3 linked regions of the Yarrowia lipolytica genome follow. The protein of the gene in region 2 interacts with the protein of the main gene of each other region in a pairwise test. Links are inferred from orthologs where the notes say so. Each region holds a gene or a part of one and is shown on either strand. Other genes may lie near its edges.

The links.
Region 1: the proteins of YALI1_E20269g (region 2) and YALI1_E17069g interact in binary tests that used the Saccharomyces cerevisiae proteins (3 or more experiments, as listed by UniProt). The link is inferred for Yarrowia lipolytica from reciprocal best matches to the Saccharomyces cerevisiae genes SEC23 and SFB3.
Region 3: the proteins of YALI1_E20269g (region 2) and YALI1_E35988g interact in binary tests that used the Saccharomyces cerevisiae proteins (3 or more experiments, as listed by UniProt). The link is inferred for Yarrowia lipolytica from reciprocal best matches to the Saccharomyces cerevisiae genes SEC23 and SEC31.

What each region holds. Positions count from the first base shown.
Region 1 is NC_090774.1:1,704,364-1,710,976, forward strand, and holds YALI1_E17069g (uncharacterized protein), read left to right. Parts: upstream 1-2,562; coding exon 2,563-5,283; downstream 5,284-6,613. Other genes in the region: YALI1_E17065g (uncharacterized protein), read right to left, coding at 474-2,114; YALI1_E17100g (uncharacterized protein), read left to right, coding at 5,681-5,713. UniProt on the Saccharomyces cerevisiae protein: Component of the COPII coat, that covers ER-derived vesicles involved in transport from the endoplasmic reticulum to the Golgi apparatus.
Region 2 is NC_090774.1:2,023,072-2,029,364, forward strand, and holds YALI1_E20269g (uncharacterized protein), read right to left. Parts: upstream 3,806-6,293; coding exon 1,445-3,805; downstream 1-1,444. Other genes in the region: YALI1_E20229g (uncharacterized protein), read left to right, coding at 1-1,040; YALI1_E20279g (uncharacterized protein), read left to right, coding at 4,812-6,053. UniProt on the Saccharomyces cerevisiae protein: Component of the coat protein complex II (COPII) which promotes the formation of transport vesicles from the endoplasmic reticulum (ER).
Region 3 is NC_090774.1:3,596,151-3,603,695, reverse strand, and holds YALI1_E35988g (uncharacterized protein), read right to left. Parts: upstream 4,833-7,545; coding exon 1,278-4,832; downstream 1-1,277. Other genes in the region: YALI1_E36036g (uncharacterized protein), read left to right, coding at 112-1,011; YALI1_E35982g (uncharacterized protein), read left to right, coding at 5,474-6,058; YALI1_E35971g (uncharacterized protein), read right to left, coding at 6,210-6,375, 6,523-6,578; YALI1_E35963g (60S ribosomal protein eL36), read left to right, coding at 6,994-7,009, 7,350-7,545. UniProt on the Saccharomyces cerevisiae protein: Component of the coat protein complex II (COPII) which promotes the formation of transport vesicles from the endoplasmic reticulum (ER).

The sequences.
Region 1 (6,613 bases), about 320 kb from region 2:
AGGGGCAAATGGTGATAATTGGTCAGACGGTACACTGGAAGCAAAATAGCCGTCAAGAGAGCCTGGGGTTACATGCAACGCATATACGGCGTTGGAAACACCGAAAACACATGTTTGGAACACCCGCAACCCGCTCCAAGTCAACTAATCTATGCCTCCTACAGTCACCCTACCGCGTCTCGTATATCGTCGTCTAAGCACGACATACTCTACAGTGCCCAGTGTATACTCTACTGCAAAAGCCCCGGTGCACCGGTTCACCAGCAGAAATCAAGGCTAGGGAGTCTCTTGGGGCTGCCATCGTTGGGGGAGGAAATCAGATTGCTATTTCAGACTGCAATCAACGTCGGGCCCTTGTAATTGGACCATGTAAATTAGTTAAATATCGGGCGCAGCAAGCCCGTGGGATTATCAGCGCTTGCTGCTGTAATGCTGCATGGTCAACTAGAACCCTGAAGCTTAGTACTTGTAGGTTAGTTGGCCTTGTAAGCAAATCTCATGAGATTGCTTTGAGACGAGCCAGGAACACGCTGCACGGTCAGAGGAGAAATGGCGCTCTTCTTGGGACGCGCTTGCGGTGTGGAACTGGGCGTGATTGTGGGCGTGATTGTGGGCTTTTTGGCAACACCAGAGGAGCCTGTAGGAGTCACTACTCGACGCTTGGGCGTAGAGGCATTGTATCCAAACTCCTCAAACAGAGTAGACTTCCGCTTGGCACAAGTCACAGGTGTCTGCGGTAGCGTGGTGTCTTTGTTTGGGGTGCCAAACACGATGCTGCTTTCTTCAATGTCATCGTCGCTTCGGTCAGGCTCTGAACTCAACATGGTATTGAAGTTGAAGGGCTTGTTCTCCTTCTCAGCCTGATCGGGACTCGAAGGGATGGAGAAAAAGTGACTGGAAGTAAGCGCGGGGGACGTCTTCGTTCGGGTTGGACTCAACATGTTCTCCGCAGAAGCTGTTCGCACAGCCAGGTCAACCGGCTTTGCCACCAGAACAACGGGCTTCTTGCGGCGCAGCTGTTCGGGAAGTCGCTTGACATCGCCTGTGTACTCATTTTTGGGCGCAAAGAATCCCCGTAGATCGGTAGGCTTGGCTGTCTTGTTGGCAGGAAAAGTCTTATGAGTTCGAGGGTGCACCAGTCCAGTGGCTATTGCTCGCGCCAGACCTTGTGGAATCTCGGCGCCAATGTGAAAGTCGACCTTTTCGTCCAGCTCATCTTCAGGCTCATTCAAATGTACCAGCCTACGAGCCTCGGGGCAGTAGACTCGTTGGTAGAGAAATGTAAAGTTGGCAGCATGGAATCGTTCTAAAAAGTCGGGTGAGGAGTTGTATCCGTCCATACGAAGAGCCTTAATGATAGCCTCGGGAGTTTGCCATCGTCGAATGTACCGAGCAGCTCGTTTAGGACCCACGTTCGGCACTCCATCGCAATAGTCACAGCCAGATAGAATAGCCATGTATCTCAGGTACTCCAGAGGAACCTCAGAGCCGAGTTCGAGATCTGAGCAGCTGGAGATTCGGGATCCATCAACTGTGACGCATCCTCCACTCGGGTCCAGCTTTGTGACCAGCATCTGTGCTCCGTAGACCACAAGATCTGAGTCTTCCGAAATGATGCCTGTGGCGTAACCTGCCTTCTCCAGGTACACCAGCTGGGCGTCTGCTTCGTAGGGTGCAACCACAAAAGGAATACGTTGACTCTTGAGCAGTTCTGTCAGTTGGTGGACCATTTCCTGTGTGATTCTGGTGGCTTTTTGGAAAAGGTTGACAGCTTCGGATCTTCGTCCTCGAGACATCAATGCAAGGGCTTCCTTGTGGGCCTGGTCACGTAGTGCGTGTCGTTTCTCGTCGGTCCCACGCTTGGAAGGCAGTGCTCCTCCATCAAAGACAATTAGCACGTCCACTCCACACCGTTTCAGAAACTCCACTTTGCGCATGACCCACTGTTGGGGTCGATCTGTCGGCCTGTTGAGAGCCAGGTCTTCGGCGCTTCCAAACGCGGCCTTGTGTAACCATGCAAACCCGTCCACTGCCAGTCGCTGGCCCTTGAACTCGGAAATGTGAGCTGCCGCCTGGATCGGCTTGAGCAGGGGTAGTAGTCCAGACACTCCCATGTCGAGTGTGTGTGTGTGTGGGGAGGTGCGAAGGAGGGAAGGAGAGAGGTAGGTTGGGGAGGTGGTGTTCGTGTCGGTTGTGTTTCTCCGCTTGTGTCGTTAGTCGTCGGTCGTTAGGTCACCTCTTGCTCGTTTCTTTTCGTCTTATTTCTTTCCTTTTTGTGGTATCAAGTCGTGTGTAACTTGTTGTGTCTACTGTAATACATTGTAAATCGCGACGCGTTCAGTAACTGCACATTTATTAGACTCTTTCACTAATAAGCCCTAAAAAAATAAAATATAAAATAAAATAAAACAGAGTCCCAACACCAACACCAACACCACTGCGTGCACGACCCACGACTCGAATCTAAGTTAACAGCCAGCACACATGCAAGCGGTGTGAAAGTGTGTTCGTCATCAGCTTGCCTGGGAAAAGAAAAAAAAAGATAACACACTGCAACACGCCATGGCTTCGAAAAAAAGATCGGCCAGAGCCTTCCACGACCTCGGTGCAGACCCCAATGCGCCCAATGGCAACCCCCTGATGTCGCCGGACCTCTCACAGCCCATGTACGGGGTTCCTCCTGCCGGCCAAGTTGCAGCTGATTCTCCCTACGGAGGAGCCCAGTTCGGTTACGAGGCCCACAATCCAGCCATTCCTCATGGACAACCTGCCTACGGTCATGCTGCCTCCCCTGCTGTGTCTCATGGAGCCCCTCTGGCCCATTCTTTTGCTCAGATGAGCCTGAACGCCTCGGAACAGGAGGGGTTCGGCCACGACGCAGCAAACCCTTCTCTGGAGCGTGGCAACCAAGGAATTCCTTCGCTGGCAGCTCGACGAAACGATGCGCGAGAATACACCGCTCGAAAACCCGTGTTCAAAACGTTTCAGAACACCCTACCCCCTCCTGCCACCGCCGAATATCTCTGTGAGGATCAGGGAGTGTCTGCTCCTCCCTTTTGTCGTCTCTCCATGTACAACGTGCCAGTTTCCGATCAGCTGCGGTCTCTGACTAAGCTGCCCCTCGGTATGGTGGTCAAGCCCTTTGCTGAACGAGACGTTCCCGTGGCCGACTTCTCGCAGATCGAGCCCTTCCGATGTCGACGATGCATGGCCTTCATTAACCCGCAGTTCCTGTTCTCTAACGGCGGATCTCGAGCCGTCTGTAACATGTGCCAGTTCCCCAATGCAGTTCCCGGAGAGTACTTCCAGCCCACCGACCACAACGGAGCTCGAGTCGATGTCGCCGAACGAGCTGAGCTGTTTGCTGGCACCTACGACATGGTCGTTCCCGACTCTTACTACCCCGAGGGAGACTCTCGAGAGCCCGTCAAGCACCTGTTTGTCATTGATGTGTCGGACGAGGCTATCAAGAAGGAGCTGCCCTCTCTGGCTGCCGAGGCTATCAGAAAAGCCCTTGATGAGGACGATACCCCCAAGAAGATTGGTATCATCACCTTCGACCACGCTCTGCAGTTCTACAATCTGAATGCGGATCTGGAGAAACCCCATATGGTCGTTTCTAATGATCTAAAGGACCCCTTTGTGCCCTTTGAGGACGGTCTGTTTGTGGACGCCCAGGAGTCGCGGCATGTGATTGAAGATCTGCTCCCCCGGCTGCAGTCCATGTTTGAGGGCTACAAGTACGCCGAGTCTGCCTTTGGAGCAGCTGTTTCCACTGCCCACAAGGTGCTGTCTGCGTTTGGAGGAGGAAAGGCCCATCTGGTTCTCGGATCAACCCCTACCTGGGGTCCTGGAAGTGTTTTCCCTAACAACCTCGAAAATCGAAAAACTGCGTCCAAGGAGCCCAAGAACTTTGACTGCAAGGACCCTTTCTACACCGAGCTGGCGGGCAAGTACGCCAAGGACGGCGTGGGTCTGGATGTGTTTGTCATGCCCAGCAGTGTCACTGATCTGGTCACTCTAGGCTATATTTCTGCCAAGTCTGGCGGAACCACCAAGCATTACCCAAACTTTGTGCCCATTCGAGACGGCAAGCGGTTCATGGCTGACTTGGCCCACTCCGTGACTTCTCTTCGAGCTTGTGGAGCCAAGCTCAAGGTCCGATGCTCCACGGGTCTGCAGGTTGCCGCCTATTACGGCAGCTTCCACTCCGACGACTGGCATATTGAGCCCGATGTGGGATCTGTCGACTCCGACAGCACTTACGGCATTCTGTTTTCGTACGACGGAAAGCTCGACACCAAGCTGGATGCCCACTTTCAGACTTCGCTGCTGTATAAGCATCTGGACGGTACTCGACGTCTGCGAGTTATTAACGTGCTTGCTGGAGTCACCGAGCAGTTCAAGCCTGCAATTAACTTTGTCGATGCCGATGCTTGCTTCTCCATCATGGCCCGAAACCTGTTTTCCAAGGTCACCTCCACCACTCTCAAGGAGGCTCGGTTTGGTCTCAATGAGCGACTGGTGGAAGTGTTTGCCTCTTACCGAAAGAACACCACCGAGGTTCTCCCTGCTACACAACTGCTCCTACCCACTTCTCTGCGACCTCTGCTGATCCAGTCTCTTGCGCTGCTCAAGTCTCCTCTTCTGCGAGACACTGTGACTTCTCTGGACAGACGAATCCAGTACCTGCGAGAAGCCAACAACAGCGACGTGGACAAGTTTTCTTACATGCTCTACCCTTACCTTTTCGCTCTGCATAACATGCGAGAGATTGACGGAAGTGCTATTGAGAACGGCCATTTTGTTCTGCCCGATTCTCTGGCTCCCTCTCTGGCCTCTCTGGAGGAAGGTGGTGCATACATGCTCTTCAACGGCGAGAAGCTTTATTTATGGCTTCCCAGTACTGTTTCTCCCCAGCTGCTTAACGATCTGTTTGGTGAGGACAACAACATCACCCGGGACCTGGACCCTTATATGAACTCCATTCCCGAGGTCGACAGCCACATCAACAAGCAGGTTCGAGCTCTAGTGGCCCACTTTGAGGGTCTTCTGGGCATCAGCCATCTCAACGTTCAGCTGTGTCGACCCAACCTGGATGGTGCTGAGATGGAGTTCCAGTCTCTGCTGGTGGAGGACCGAAACATGGGCGAGTACGCCTACACGGACTTCGTGTCTCACATTCACCGACACGTCAAGTTGATGATGGAGAACAGCAGCATGAAGATGACTAGCAAGACGCTTTTGAATGATGCCATCGGATACAGGGAGGCTGGCTTGTGATGAAGAGAAGGCAGAAGAAGGTACCGGTACCAGGTGGAGGAGGAAGAAAGAACGAGGATATAATACTGTTAATAGAGTGAGTTATTAGGAGAGGGCTGTGTATGGAATGGGTGCTGTAGGGGAGGGGTTGTTGACAGGACCCAGTATGATAGCTAAAGTAGTCATCCATCTTCCACCGTTTCTTTGTCATCCACGATATATCATGATGTTGTCATGCACCTGAACTCTATATGTGTTGATATATGTAATTTGCCAAACTAAAACTTTTCCATTGAACATTCTTTGATCTCTTGTGAGGAGGTAAGTATGAACGCTACGGCGCGTGAACACGGCTTGGACGGGATTTTTGGACAGCTACTAACCCAGGCTTGTATTTTTATCCCCCGTTTGTATTATTATGAACTACAACAACGACGATTCTGAGGATCGAGTGAGTACCACCACCCCGCGACACTACCAGATTCAACGACACAAACCCCCCCTTCAGGGACGACGCGTTTGAGAGATGGACCGAGATGGAGAGAGGAGGAGGATGGACGGACCTGGCCCTTTACCGCGTGCTGGATGCTGGATATGGGACCAAGCAAGCGGCGAGACCATCGGCGGTGTGATGATGGGGCGACCGGAATGGGGCGTGCGGAAAACAATCAACAAGGAGGCAGAAGACGACGGTGATAATACTTGTGGGGATCTACTATTGGGGGCTGGGGATGGATCTACTTATTTTGGCTGATGACTACTACTTCTTGTTCGATATGTGATGGCAAGCGAAAAAAACGGCGGGCATGGCATGGCATGGCATGGCAAGGCGCACTCTATCTCTTTTGTGGGAGGCACCCATATTACGGACGAACACACGAACGGCTGGCGGGAAAGATGGACAGCAAAAAAACAAAAGGATAGGCTACAGAGACGCATGTGTGCGTCACATCCTTCTTGTTGTTTTTTTGGTCTCGTGGGTATCACATGTCCCTGTGACGGACGGGTGCTTTTGAGGCATGTCTCTCCTCTCTATTGTGTGAGCGAGTGTCCTGTCCTCGTGTGTGTGGGTCTTCTGTGTGTGTCCCGTGATATATAGGACCTCTACGTGACATGTCACATTAGAAGGCTGTTCGATCCCTGCCCTCGTCGTTTTCTGCTGCCATTTTCTGTCGTCGACCATTTTCTATCGTCGACCCGGCCGGTTGTCTTGCTCCCTTGCTTTCCGTGTTCGGTCACGGTTGCAGCTTGGGCATGCACAAACGCCCTCTCTGTCTCTCCATGCCTCCTGTCCTCTCAGGGCTGTCGGAACCATAGCTTCTTGGTTCCACACACGTGGACAGAGTTCAAG
Region 2 (6,293 bases):
ATGTCAACTACCTGGACATTGGCTACAACGAGCTGGAGCCTCCGTCTACCCCCCAGATGATGCCTACACAGACCAACAATGTGAGTCCCGACACCCTGGCGCGGTTCTCGCGACTGCTCAACTTCTCCTCCACCACCCCCAGTCCCACCAAGCCGCTCAATGACCCCTCACAATCGGACATTTTCCTCCAGCAGCCCCCCACCATGTCGCTGATGGGAGCCATGTCTCCGCCTCACTCGTCCCACCCTCCGGCTGCCGAGTTTGGCCATGCTCACTCGTCCCATCTTCAGCAGAACCCCTTCCTGAACCCTCCCCAGCTCAACTACGATGCCGACGCTCTGGCCTACCTGTCTCCCGAGCCAGGCTTCACTTCTCCTGAAATGGACAACTGGAACAACTACGAGTCTCCCCATGACCACTCCTCTCCCGAGGGACCCCTTGGAGAACCCTTTGACGAGTACGGACTCGGAATCTCGTGGCTGCCCGTCGTCACCATCCCCGAAAACACAGAAACAGAGCAGATCATCGAACAGCAAAAGGTCTCCAACCAGCCTCAGCCTCGAAAGTCCGGCCTACCCCCCGGAAAACTCGAGTCGTTCATTCATGGGCCCTGCGAAGACGGCAAGTTTCTGTGTCTGTACCCGGGCTGTGGCAAGAAGTTTGGACGACGATACAACCTCTGTTCGCACATCCAGACACACCTTGCAGACAGACCGTACTCGTGCTCGTCCTGTGAAGCCTCCTTCGTCAGACAGCACGATCTCAAGAGACACGAGCGCACCCACGCCGTAGTCAAGCCCCACATTTGTCCCTGCGGAAAGGGCTTCAATCGACCAGACGCCCTCAACCGACACAGAGCCCGACAGATCTGCTCTGGAGGCATCGAGGTACCTGGCCAACCCAAGCCATCGCCAGGCAAAAAGGGCCGACCCCGAAAGGTCGAACAACCGATCCAGATGGAACACTATGATTATGCACATACCTCTCCCGACTTTTCGTCTCCAGAGTACCACTCTTCACCGGACTTCGAAGGACATTAGGAAACAGTGAGATACAGAACGAGAAAGAGAGAGAGAGAGAGCACTAACATATATTTATAATGTGGATTGGTTTTGTTTATATGCTTCATTCCTTCATTCTATATACTATTTATTACATTTAATTGAGTCAATTCAAGGAGTAATTACATTGCATCTACACAGCTATCGCGATATCATATCATCACCCCACTCGCACAGCTCATACAGTGCCTCCTTGAAACTTTTTAGCTCCAAAGAACATATATTCCACTGTATCGTACAACCATGTCTCACTAACGCCAGATACGGGGTCGCATGCAAGGGAGTGGTGTACTTGAGACAATACAGTGTATAGAAGACACCACTGTATAACTCCCAGCTCGACAATCCAACAATACAAATTAATCTTACAACATTACTTAACCCTAAGAGGAGGCAGCCACAGACAACTTCTGAAGATGAGACATGAAAGTCTGCAGAGACACATCGTCAGTAAGCACCACGGCGCTGCCAGGAGTGCCGTAGCCACTGTCGCTCTGGTGGGTGTTGGAGGGATTGAGCTTGGACAGCAAGAAACGGGCCTGGGAACCTCCAGCATCAGTGTCAATGAATCGAGGCAAAGGGAATCGGTCAACCAGCAAGTCCTGGACCTCCATTCGAGGGGCCTGCAGAAGCTCAGCAAAGTTGGCGTACTCCTCCTTTTCTTGGTAGCCCTGGTTTCGCCAGTTGGCAATGGTTTCTCCGTGGAAAATGAGAATGTGGAAAAAGGTGTCCAGCAGCAGAATGTGATCGGGCTTGATGGACACCGAATCCAGCAGTACAGGCACGGGCTGCTCCTGCTCCAGAGAGTACGACAGCAGGGTGGGCTGGATCATGATAAGCGAGTTGTTGAGATTCTCTCGGTTCAGGCAGTGTCGGTAGAAGGCAGTCTCATCGGGCGAGTTGTTGAACACCTGCAGGAACTGCGATCGTCGTAGATGGAACATAAACTGGGGGTACAGCGAGAAGTTGTGGGCGAGTCGGAACGAAGACGCGTCGTCTTTTCTGTAGTCAGCAAACTTTTGGCATAGACGGATCAGCATCTTGTCGGTCCATCGCATAATGTCGTTGCCGTCCTCGGTCTCGGACTTGAAAATGGCAATTCGAGTCATAAGCACAGCAGCAGCCTCCTGGTCAAAGGAGCTGGCAATGTGGGGATCGCCACCGGGCACAAGAGCCTTGGCAACAGTGGTCACACGAAGACGTTGCTGAGTGGACGAGTGGTGGTAATGCGTCAGGAACTGCACGTATCCAGGGGGGATCTGGCCTGCAGGAGTGCCCTGCTGCTGGGCCACTTCGAAGAAAGTCGCGTAGGTGTGAGCAGGAGTGATGGAGCACATCTTCCACGAAGAAGTCTGGCCAATACCAATCTCGGTGTCAGCTACACTGGGGTTCTTCTTGTTCATTGAAACGGCGTGGCCAATCAGACCAGATACCTTGAGCTCCTTGGAGGGCACGACATCAAAGGTGGCGTTGAAACCCATCTGGAGGAAGTTGTTGGCGTCTCGGGCAAACATCTTGGTCAGCGAGGACTTGAAGATGGATGTGGAGAAGGCATCGCAGAGCACAAGAGCTCCACCGGTGGAGTTGGGCAGAGATCGCATCTCGTGCATACCAATCTGGTCGTAACAACCGGCGAAAATGTCAACGGCCTGGCCATGGGTGGTGGCTCGCTTGGCCAGACCCTCGTAGAACTTTGTGGCAGCCTTGGAGTGCTTGGCTGTGTCCTTTTCAATTTCGTGGTGAGATCGGATGGGCTCCTTGAGCTCGGGACCCACAATCATACCAGGACCCTCAGTGGGGGCACCACCAGCAAACAGCATGACTCGTGCACCGCAGTTGGGAAAGGAAGTCTCCAGCAGGCCGAGAGCAATTCCGAGAGCCACACCGGTACATCGGATGGGTCGTCGGTCGGCAGCCACGGGCCAGGGGTCCTTCTGCAGACCCTCCAGAACGTTGGTGAGGGCGAACTCGGCGTTCTGCAGAGGCAGGAGGAACCGGGCAGCGGCTCCCTGGGCCTGGGGATGTCCTCCCTGTTGGGGGACTCGGTGACCAATAGGCTGGTTGAGACCCAGCTGTTCCTGCACCTGCTTCGCAGTGTAATCTCGGTTACCTCGGAAGACGAAGCTCTTGCCGCACTCTCGGTAGCCAATCTCGTGGACCTGAGCCATGGCGCCAAAGGTGATGAGACCGACGAGAGCGTTCTCGGGGATCAGAGAAAGAGTGGCCACAAGGTGATCCTTGAGAGCAGTCAGGTTCTCGGCGTCCAGACAGGTGTCAACCACAAACAGGAAGATGGGGTTGGGAGCAGGTCGGGACAGAACGTACTCAACAGTGGTGCACTCGGGTCGCAGCTCGTGGGGCAAGTTTTCGGGAGTAATGTCTCGGTACTGAGGAGGCAGCTGGTTTCTAGACAGACAGAAAGGACAGACCCAGGCTCGGGCTCGCAGATCAACCTGGCAGAAGGAGTTGAGCACAGCTCGACAGGGGGGTCGGCATGCAATGGGCTCATACTGCAGTACGGGGAGGTTGGGCTTCTCCTTCAGAGGAGTGTACAGAGCCGAGATGGGAACGACGGTTCTGGAAGCCTCAATTCGGGTAGAGGGAATGCAATTCCAGGAGAATCGCACTCCGTCCTTCTCTTCGAATTCTTCAAAGTCCTGGGTTAGTACGAAACGGAAACGGGTAACGGGAGTAGCCGCAGGTCGAGGACGACGCGCGACGTGACCATGCGTGTCACTTGCCATCGCAGTGGAAGACACCACCTGGATCCAAGCGGAAGCAAGTAGCTGTAGTTGCAATCACGACACAACAGCGCGCCAAGCTGACACCGTTACGTGATGTTAGGTAGGCCACGAAAAGCACATGGACACAAACACAGCGTAGCGTACCAGCTCCAAGCTGCTGACACAGAAACAATCAGTATACTTGTCACACAATTGTAACATTGTCACAAACTGCCACATCAATGTTTGTACTAAACACCGTGTAACGGGCACACGAATACCTGTCCTAGTCGGTTGATAAAATGGCTGATTCAATAGTGCAACACTGGCGCAAAGATCACGTCATCCAGAGGTCCTAATCACATTGCTTTCGTCTGTGTCACACCATCTCTTCTGTGTCTTTTGTTGCTCATCAAATCCATCCCCCGTGTCTTTTCATATTGGCGATCAACCCCACACTAAGGGATTCGATTGGTCGGTTTGCAAGAGACACGGAGCCATGTGTCGGCCATCGGTTTGTGTCATCAAATCAACCCAGTTCGCCAGCATCGCCCATCGCGTCGCCTTGTCACACTCACCATTTGATTGTTGTGTCGAATAGGCCACCTAAGCAAAGTGAACTCAATGTTGAAAATGCCAGGTCGTTGGTAACAGGTGGGACATTCACGTCCGAACCTAAATGAGTGGTGGGAGAATGTGTGACAACGACAAGAGTGGGAATGGAGGGTCTATATATAGGGAATATTTTGGTAACGACAAGACGAATGTAATGCGGAAATTGGAATGCAGATGCACGATGATTATTCAGGGCCAAAAATCATCCTGTCTAGCGCCACCCAACTGCCCACATTCAGACCTCCTCACCCCAACTAACACGTCTTACGTACACACTTACTGTAACTTCCTCCACACCTAATTCACGTACAGTACAAACTTGTGCATACAAGACAAGAACAAGAGACACACATTGTCAATACCGCACGTCTGTCAAACCCACAGAAAGACACCCACGGCAGGATTCTCAACGATGGAAGTCGCCACTCTCGCCTGTGGAGCAATTGCTCGGATAGTGGTCTACCACCTATTCCCGTCCGTGCCCGCAACTCTAGATGGCCATGTGGAAATCTCCACGCCCGTCACCTCCTTCAAACGACTCCAGGAGGGCCTGTATCTCTACAAGCAAGGAATCGATCCCTACGACGGCGGAATCTTCCACCAGTCGCCACTGCTGCTCGGCGCAGTGTCGGCCGTGTCGAAAATCGTGCCCGAAACCATCGCAATCAACATTCTATACGTGCTGGCGGACCTGACGGCGGCATGGGCCCTCGCTCAAACCGCCCAGAGAGCCGCCACCACCATCAAATACGTCTTCAAGAAGAAAGATACAAAAGAGCCGCTGCCGTTTGCTCCTTGGATCATCGCAGCAATCTACCTCTTCAACCCCCTGCTGTTTCTGTCGTCGGCAGCTAAATCCACAGCTGTGTTCAACAACGCTGCCATCTGCTACACCCTGGCCGCTGCCACCCACGGCCACTTTCTGACTGCAGCCGCCTCTCTTGCATTGGCCACTAACCTTTCATATTACCCCATCTACCTGGCTCCTCTTGTGTCTCTCCTGCTCCATGGAAACAGCGGAACGCCACTCAGAACAAACAAGGCCCAGTACGGCTTCCGGTTCTGCCTGCTGTCGGCTTCTTACACCGCAGCTATCCTGCTGCTGTCCCAGGCCATTGCTGGATCCTGGAACTTCCTAGGAGCTGTCTATGGTACTATTCTTACTGGTAGAGACCTCACTCCTAACATTGGCTTGTGGTGGTACTTTTTCACGGAGATGTTTGACTTCTTTCAGCCCTTCTTCACCGGAGTGTTCCAAATCCACGTCTTTCTCTACGCCGCCCCCATCACTCTTAGATTCAGCAGCTTCCCTCTGTTTGCCATCACTCTCTATCTCGGTCTGGTGGCCCTGTTCAAGGCCTACCCCGATACTGCCGATGTGGGCATCTTCTTCTCGCTGGTGCCCTTCTTCAGACCGCTTTTCCCGCTTCTGAGGTACCCCATTCCGGCTTTTCTGGCGCTGCTATACTCTTCGGTGCTGCTGCCCACCTTCTTCCACATGTGGATCTACCTGGGCTCAGGAAACGCAAACTTCTTCTACGCCATCACGCTGGTGTATGCGCTTGGAATGACCGTGTGCATTTCCGACCTTACTTGGGCCATGCTTCGCCTGGAACATGACGGAGGAGAGGACCCCAACCTGTCCCAAATCTAGATATCATTAATGAAACGAATTATGAATAAGAATGATCATGACACGAATGGAAGCATGTATAGTACCTGTACAATGTACTCGTATGAATATGAATATGCACAAAAAAAAGCCGACAAATGCTTTGCTCGGAAAGGCAAAAAATTCTGGGCCCAACCGGGAATTGAACCCGGGACCTCTCGCAAATTGCCTAGGACACCCTAAGCGAGAATTATACCACTAAACCATCGGGCCAGATTTTTT
Region 3 (7,545 bases), about 1.6 Mb from region 2:
CACTACCCAAAACGTACAGTATGTATCTATTTATATCCCAACCTCTATTTAGTCCCATCAATAATATCACCAGTTTGACACAGTACTCACTTAACACATCAACTAGGCACGATGAAGTTTTCGGTATACGTTTTGGCGCTGGTGGCCGCCGCTGCCCTGGCAGCAGACGGTGATAACAACAACAACAACAACAACGACAAATCCACAGCCACCACCGGGCAGAAATCCTCACAGTCGCAAGCCTCTAAGACTCAACAACAGAGTGCGTCAGCCACACAAAAAGATGACAAGTCGTCGACCAAGAGCGCTGACGATTCCAAGACTACGAACGGCTCGGATAACAAGTCTGGCGACAACAACGACAAGGATAACAACAAGTCGGACAGCAAGGACAATAACGATAACAAATCTAACGACAATGACAACAAATCTAGCGACAAGACAGAAGACAAATCCTCGACCACTTCTAAGTTCTCCACCTCTATCGACCCTCGACTCCCTGCTGGTGGTGTAGATTTGCTTACCCCCGAGGCCACCACCTCCACCTACATCAAGCTCGGCGAGCAAGCCACATTTGTGTGGAACTACACCTCTCTCTCAGTGACTCCATCGGCAATCAATATTGAAGCATACTGTTCCCAGAACAGGCACTACTACACCATTGCTGCCAACCAGAGTGCAACGGAGACCTCAGTGGTGTGGGACACCAGTCAGTACTCGGACAACAACACCGATGACACTCCTCTCATCAACTCCAACTACCAGCTCTACATATATGATGCTAACGAGGATATGAATGCTGTTGCCAGTGCTGGTTACTTGGCCTCATTCAACCGATACCAGTTTGGAATCTACTCTCCCCAGCCTTATGTGCCTATGGACCAGTTCCAATGCAACGGCTGTCAGGGTAAGGCGAAGAGTGCCGCTCCTCAGACTGATATGCTCGTGGTCAAGATGCTCATGGCCTTCTGTTTGATTATCGTTGCAAGCTTCATGCATTTTACTCTTTAACAATAGATTAATTTAATACCGGGATAACGACTGTACACTTCTATATATACTGTTCAGTATGTACTTGTACTACAAGATAGTACATACTGTGTTGCAGTTCTAAATATAACTGGAAAGGAATGATATGACGGGACAATTCATCTCATGAACGCTCGACTCAAGAGTTCATCCGTTACGGTGTTAATCAACCTCTGTGTTCGACATGTCTGCTCATCTACACCCACACACCATTCTAATTCTACATTCATTAACTATCATATAACATCCTACCAAGTCCTGACGGCAGCAGCCATTTCAACAAATCGCTTGAGACCAACCATCCACTTGCCACACTCATCGGGTCGAGCGGTGGCAATTTGAAGCTGCAGAGCCTGGGCAGTGGGGAAATCCCGCTGGGCAATGGCGTTGGACAGCTTCAGCAGATCCTCAACCATCTCGGGCTGGGCGTCGTCGTTGTTCAGATGGTCATACAGAATGTTGAGACGCTTCTCAGCATCCCGCACGTGCTTCGAATACTGTTCAGGAATGTGAGGTTTCAGACCAGCCCACTGCGTGGACAGGGTGTCGAAGATGGGCCGCGAGGTGGCAGGGATGTGTGTTCGGTCTCCTGCAGGGTGCTTGGCGGCTGCAGGTGGGGGAGCAGGCGAAGAAGGCACTGGGTTTCGAGCGGGGCCTCCGGGGGGAGGAGCCACGCTGTTTCGAGGAGGACCAGCGGGAGGAGGAGCAACCTGAGCAGGAGGAGGAGCAGTGTAGCCTCCACCTGCGTGAGGAGCAGGAGCTCCAGTGAAGCCACCAGTAGGGGGGGCATAAGGGTTGCTAGCAGGAGGAGCACCGGCGCCAGGAGCAGGGGCGTAGGGGTTGCTGGGAGCAGATCGCTGAGCAGGAGGAGGCACAATACCAGCGTGTACGGGAGGAGGAGAAACCACGGCGCCGGGGGCGGGAGCGTAGGGGTTAACAGCAGGCTGGACATTGTTCTGAGCAGGCGAGTGGGCAGGAGCGTAGGGGTTAGGAGGGGGAGGAGACACCACGGCAGGCACAGGGGGTCGAGCTCCGTACGCAGCCTGGGCTCCATAAGGAGAGGGTGCACCTCCAATAGGGAAGCCATAGGCGTTTACACCTCCGCTAGGCACACCGGGAGAGGTGACTCGATTCACAGAGGGAGGTCGGGGACCACCAGCAGGGGGAGCTGAGGGAGCAGCAGGGGTGGGGGGAGCATAGGCAGACGAGATAGGACCCGGGCTAGGAGCTGACTTCTTAGGGGGAGGGACAGAACCTGCAGGCAGATCATTGTAGCCAGCAGTGTCGTGACGAGGAGCTGTGGTTCGAACAGGACCTCCGCCGGGAGTAGACCTTCCGTAGGTGTTCTGCTGGGGAGCAGCACTGTAGGCGTTACCCTGAGGAGCATAAGCATTAGTCTGAGGAGTGGGGTTGTAGGGGTTGTGTGTGTTTTGCTGGGGAGCTCCAGGAGACTGAGCTGCAGGAGCGAAACCAGTGACAGGAGCAGGAGGCTGGGGAGCGTACATGTTCTTGGCAGGGGAAGGAGGCACAGCAGCAGCAGTGGGTGGGGGAGCAGCGGCTGCAGGAGCAGCGGCGGCAGGGACAGCAGGAGCATACATGGAACCATAGGCAGAAGCGGTAGGCGTGTAAGCAGAAGCCTGGGGGGTAGCACTGCCATAAGAAGGCTTTCCGTAGGCAGAGGCCTTGCTAGTGGCAGTGGTGGCAACGGAGGGCTTGGCAGCCTTGTTGAGTCGCTCTCGCTCAAGACCAACACCCTCGAAGGATGCAGGCAGAAGAGCAAGGAACTGCTGAGCAAGCTCCAGGTTGCCCTGGGAAGCCACAATGTTGGCGAACTCTCGGTACTTGTTGTAAAGACCATCCACAGTTCCAGAGTCCACGGCGTTGGTAGCCTTTCGGAAGACGGAGATCTTCTCGATGAACTCCTTGAGAGCGGAGAAGTGGGCAGTGTAAGGAGCCACATTGTCCTTGGTCAGCTCCTTCTCTCGTGTAGTGATCTCAGACTCCCACAGACCAGAGACCTTGTCGAGCTTGCCAGACACAAGGTAACAGGTGGCGGCATTGTCTCGGTCGGACTCTCGAAGTCGGTCACCAAGAGCAGCAGCCAGATCGCCAAACTGAGCTCCGCCGTAAGTGTATAGAAGAGCCAGAATTTCCTTCCAATCCTTGAGATTAGCGTTCTCAACGACGTCGTCAAGCTTGTTGGTGTTGACAGCGTTGAGAAGTCGAGCAGTGCTGGAGGTCTGCTTAGCAAAGTATGCGTTCTGAACCTTGGTCTTGACGGCATCAGAGGCCTTCTCAGCCAGAGCAAAGGCGTCCAGAAGCCGGTCCTCCTTAAGACACAGATCAACGGCAGTAGAGAGGTTGCCGTTGATGATGGCCTGATTGATGGGGTCGGAAGACTCTAGAGAGAAGGCACCGGAAGGAGACATCTTGCTGAAAACATCTTCAGAGTCATCCTCCACGGCAGGCTCCTCCTTCATGACGGGAATGTCCAGGAAAGATCGGACTTCGTCAGTGCCCTTGCTGAGAGCCTCGAGAACCTTCCACTCGGCGCCCTTGACCTCGTCAAATGCCGAGGTTAGGTCTCCCTTCAGAACAACCTCGATGCTTTCAGTGTCGACCTTGTCGCCCACAAACTTTCCAACTTGTACAGTACTCTTGCCGTCGGTGGTTGTGACAGTGACAATCTTTCCTCCGAATCCAAACGAGTTGGACACGGGTCGCTGCAGCCATGAGGGGGCCTGCTTGAGCGAAATCTTGGCCTGCGACTGGGTGCCGAGGTTTTGGAAAAAGTCGCCCTCCTGGGCAGGAGCGTCCCCTCCATTCACGTCCTGCAGAGTCTGAATGACAATCTTGCCCTCGAACGACGCGGTAGCAAACAGATCGGGGGTTCGTTCATTGAGCTTAGTCTTGAAGGTCCAGTTCTGAGCAGCACCGTACTCACCGAGACACTCGTGGGTGTCCGGGTTCCACAGCAGGGTTCGGTTATCCTTACCACACGACAGCAGGAACCGGGGGTCCAGCTGGCACCAGTCGACAGACAAGATACCCTTGGAGTGGCCTTGCAGCACACCCTCGGGTGCATTTGCGTTCTTGAGGTCCCAGATGAGCATGACAGGCTCGGCGTCATCAGCCACGGCTGTGATCAGCTTGGTGGGTTTGGAGGGGTGCCAGACAACGTGGGAAACAGGCTTGTCGTGCTTGACACGCGTAAGTTCCTTGTTCTGGTCCACGTTCCAGATGGTGGTGATACCATTGGACGATGAGGTGGCGAGAATGTTTCTGGTGATGTTGTTGAAGGCCAAAGACTCAATGTCGCCGGCCTTGTTGTCGGTGCCGAGCTTCTTTGCAATGGGCTTTTTGGGGTCCGACAAGTCCCACACAAAGATCTCACCCTTGGTGCCTCCGGAAACCAGTCTGGTGGGGTTGTGGGGGTCGAATTGCAGGGTCTTGATAGGGCCCGAGTGCTCCTTGACAGACACAGACGTGGAGGAGTCTTTGATGTTGTCAGCCTCCCACACCTCGAGGGAGCCGCTCTCAGTGGCTCCGACGATCAGGCTGTGCTTGCCGGTGTTGTGCCAGACGAGATCGTGGAAACGCGTATCGGCAGAGATAGACACGGCGGGCTTGGTAAGACGGAATCCCTCGGAGGATCGGTCCATGAGATCCACGTCCCAGATCTCCAGCTGAGATGAAGACGAAAAGTCAGCATCCACGGTACCAGCCACGGTTCCGGTAGCAATGCGCAAGTTGTTGGGCGACCACGCAAAGGTGGCCGTTCTGTCAATTTCCTTGAGCTTCATTGTTGGTGGTGGTGTAACGTGGATCAAGCCGCGAGGTGGGAGGTGAGGTGACGTGGCCCAGGGTTAGGGTACATACAGTGAGCTTTCGAAGGTTAGCAACGATGAGGGGGATTGCGAGGTTAGGGTGATTAGGGGAAGGAACTAGATAGGTTGCTGCTATGACAATGGCATTGTTGTTTATAAGTGTTTTTATTCGGTCTCAATTGTAAATTCGCACCTCTCAAGGCTGTTTAGTGGCGCTTATTTAGCCCACTACCTCCACTGGTAGTTGCAGTTCCCAGTTAGTTGGACGTGTTCTTTTTAGACTTCAGAGAGTGAGATGGTGCAGCTGCTGTAGCTACTGTAATTCATGGTTTTTGATAGTCAAGGCAGGGATACATCAACGGTGCTGGAGAATGTGATTATGGATTGGGGGTATAGGTAGACGCCTTACCAATGGTTGACAATAAAGCACGTGACTTCATGATAATATATATATTATATATATATTACTTGAAAAAGTGTGATCTAAGCTCACCCATCTCATCTTCTGGTACATTTCATTCAACCACAGACAGATAACCTGAACGCTAAAGGTGCAGGATAACCAACTGTCCAAAATATTTGATCGAACCTCAACATTATAAACATCAACAACTAACATGTCCAGGATCACTAAGCCTGGACAGAAAAAGACCAACGCAAACGCATCGGAGCTCAAGAAACTTCTAGCAAACCCTACACAGGAAATTTCCACAGCAAAACCGCCCCCACCATCAGTGGCGCCTCCTCCAGACGTCATCTACACCTTTACTGGATCTACAGCAGGAGCAGGATCCGGAGAGTTCCATGTGTATAAACACGCTAGACACAAGGAGGCCGAGCGACTGAAGTATATCAATGAAGCTGCTCAGAAGGATACCGAGCGTGACGAGTTTCTGAAACGAAGGGAAGAACAGCAGCAGAAGGATGCAGAGAAGACCAACAAAAATCGAGCAAGGAGGCAAAAGCGAAAGCAGGCAAACGCTAAGAAGCCGGTAAAGGCGTCCGAAGAGCCCAAGACTGATGTAAAGTCCCCTGAGGACTCCACACCTGGTCCTGAGCCTGAGGTGAAAGTTACTGATGCTGGAGTGGCAAAAGCTGAGCCCAAGGCCGAGCTCGAGATCAAGTCAGAAGCTATTGGGGGTCAGGAAGAGCCCGAGTCTCTATCCGAGGGAAAAATCATTGATGCGGATGCTGCTTTCTAGGCATAGACTGTGTGCCAGAGTGTATGGTATGTACACCACAGTAAGTACAATAGATAGACTAATTTTAAAAGAACCCATATTCAATCATCAATACAGGAGAATGGTTATTAGCTATGTACAATTGTTAGGACGAGAGTAATGGTTGCAACCACTACATCTGCTTGGTCTGGGTTCGATCATCTTGCTTGTGAGCTGCCCAACAGTCCTTAAAGGCCTTCATCTCGTCAGTGCACTTTCGCCAATCCTTGGTGTCCTGGTAGCAATCAGTGAGAGCCATATTCTCATCAGCACACCCGGTCTTATTGATGCGAGCGTCCCTGTGTTAGTTACAGTTGACCTGAATGATCATGGATCCTGTTAGTTGGCGTATTGGACTCAGGATGATCACAGGATGGCCAAGATCAGAGGCTCCCTCTCATACTCAAACAACCAATTCAATCTCACCCAGCCAAAGCAACACTCACCAAGCATCAGGTTCATCGTCGTCCTCAAATTCTTCCTTCTTAGTAGCAGGCTGCATTTGTGTGTAAGTGGTATGAAGTCTGTAGGATCGAGCAGTTATCGAGCCATACTGAACCTAAGTCAAGTCAGTGTCCGATTATGCATGCCCGAAAGCTTCCAGTACAGACCCACATGACAACACCAATGAATAGAAAAACGAGGCCCCTAAATGGTCTTGCAACAGAAAATTACACCAGTGATCTTACCATCTTAATGACATGATGAATTTTTACATTTTACTGACATTAAATCATCTCGACAGCAGTCACGTGACTTTTAAGTTTTACCCGGCCTTCCTTTTTGGAAACCCACTCAGACCAGGAAATAAGCTCTTACGTTCTCAATTCTACACGCACCCCGATTGGGACCATGCAAACTTCTCATCCTGATATTCTCGTCTTCTTTTCTTGTACAACTTCACGACACATACAAAAATGGCTACCAAGTCCGGTAAGTTATGACAGACGACGATGGGAGACGGAGCGAGCAGCATTGACGGATGGACGAGAACGTGATTTGACGAACAGGATGTCGACGAGAGAACATATTTGGTGATTGCAAAGGTCATGTGAGGACCACTCACTCAGAGTGGCGACACAACAACTGTCAGTACCACCAAGATGTTTGAAGGAAGATATGTCGCGGCTTTCTGGATGATGGATTGGCATTTGTTGTTGGTTCGTTGCCCACTCTGTTCGTCCACACTGGTTAGTCACTCAGTAATTCATCCAGGTCAGTGTCTACGAGCACATTGTTGACGAGACAACCACAAAATCAAAACTAACATAAGGAATCGCTATTGGACCCAACAAGGGCCACAAGGTCACTGCCCGAACCCCCGCCACTCGAGTTTCTCGACGAAAGGGTGCCCTCTCTAAGCGATCCGCTTTTGTCCGAGACCTCGTAAAGGAGGTTACCGGCCAGGCTCCTTACGAGCGACGAATCATTGAGTTGCTGCGAAACTCCAGTGATAAGCGAGCTCGAAA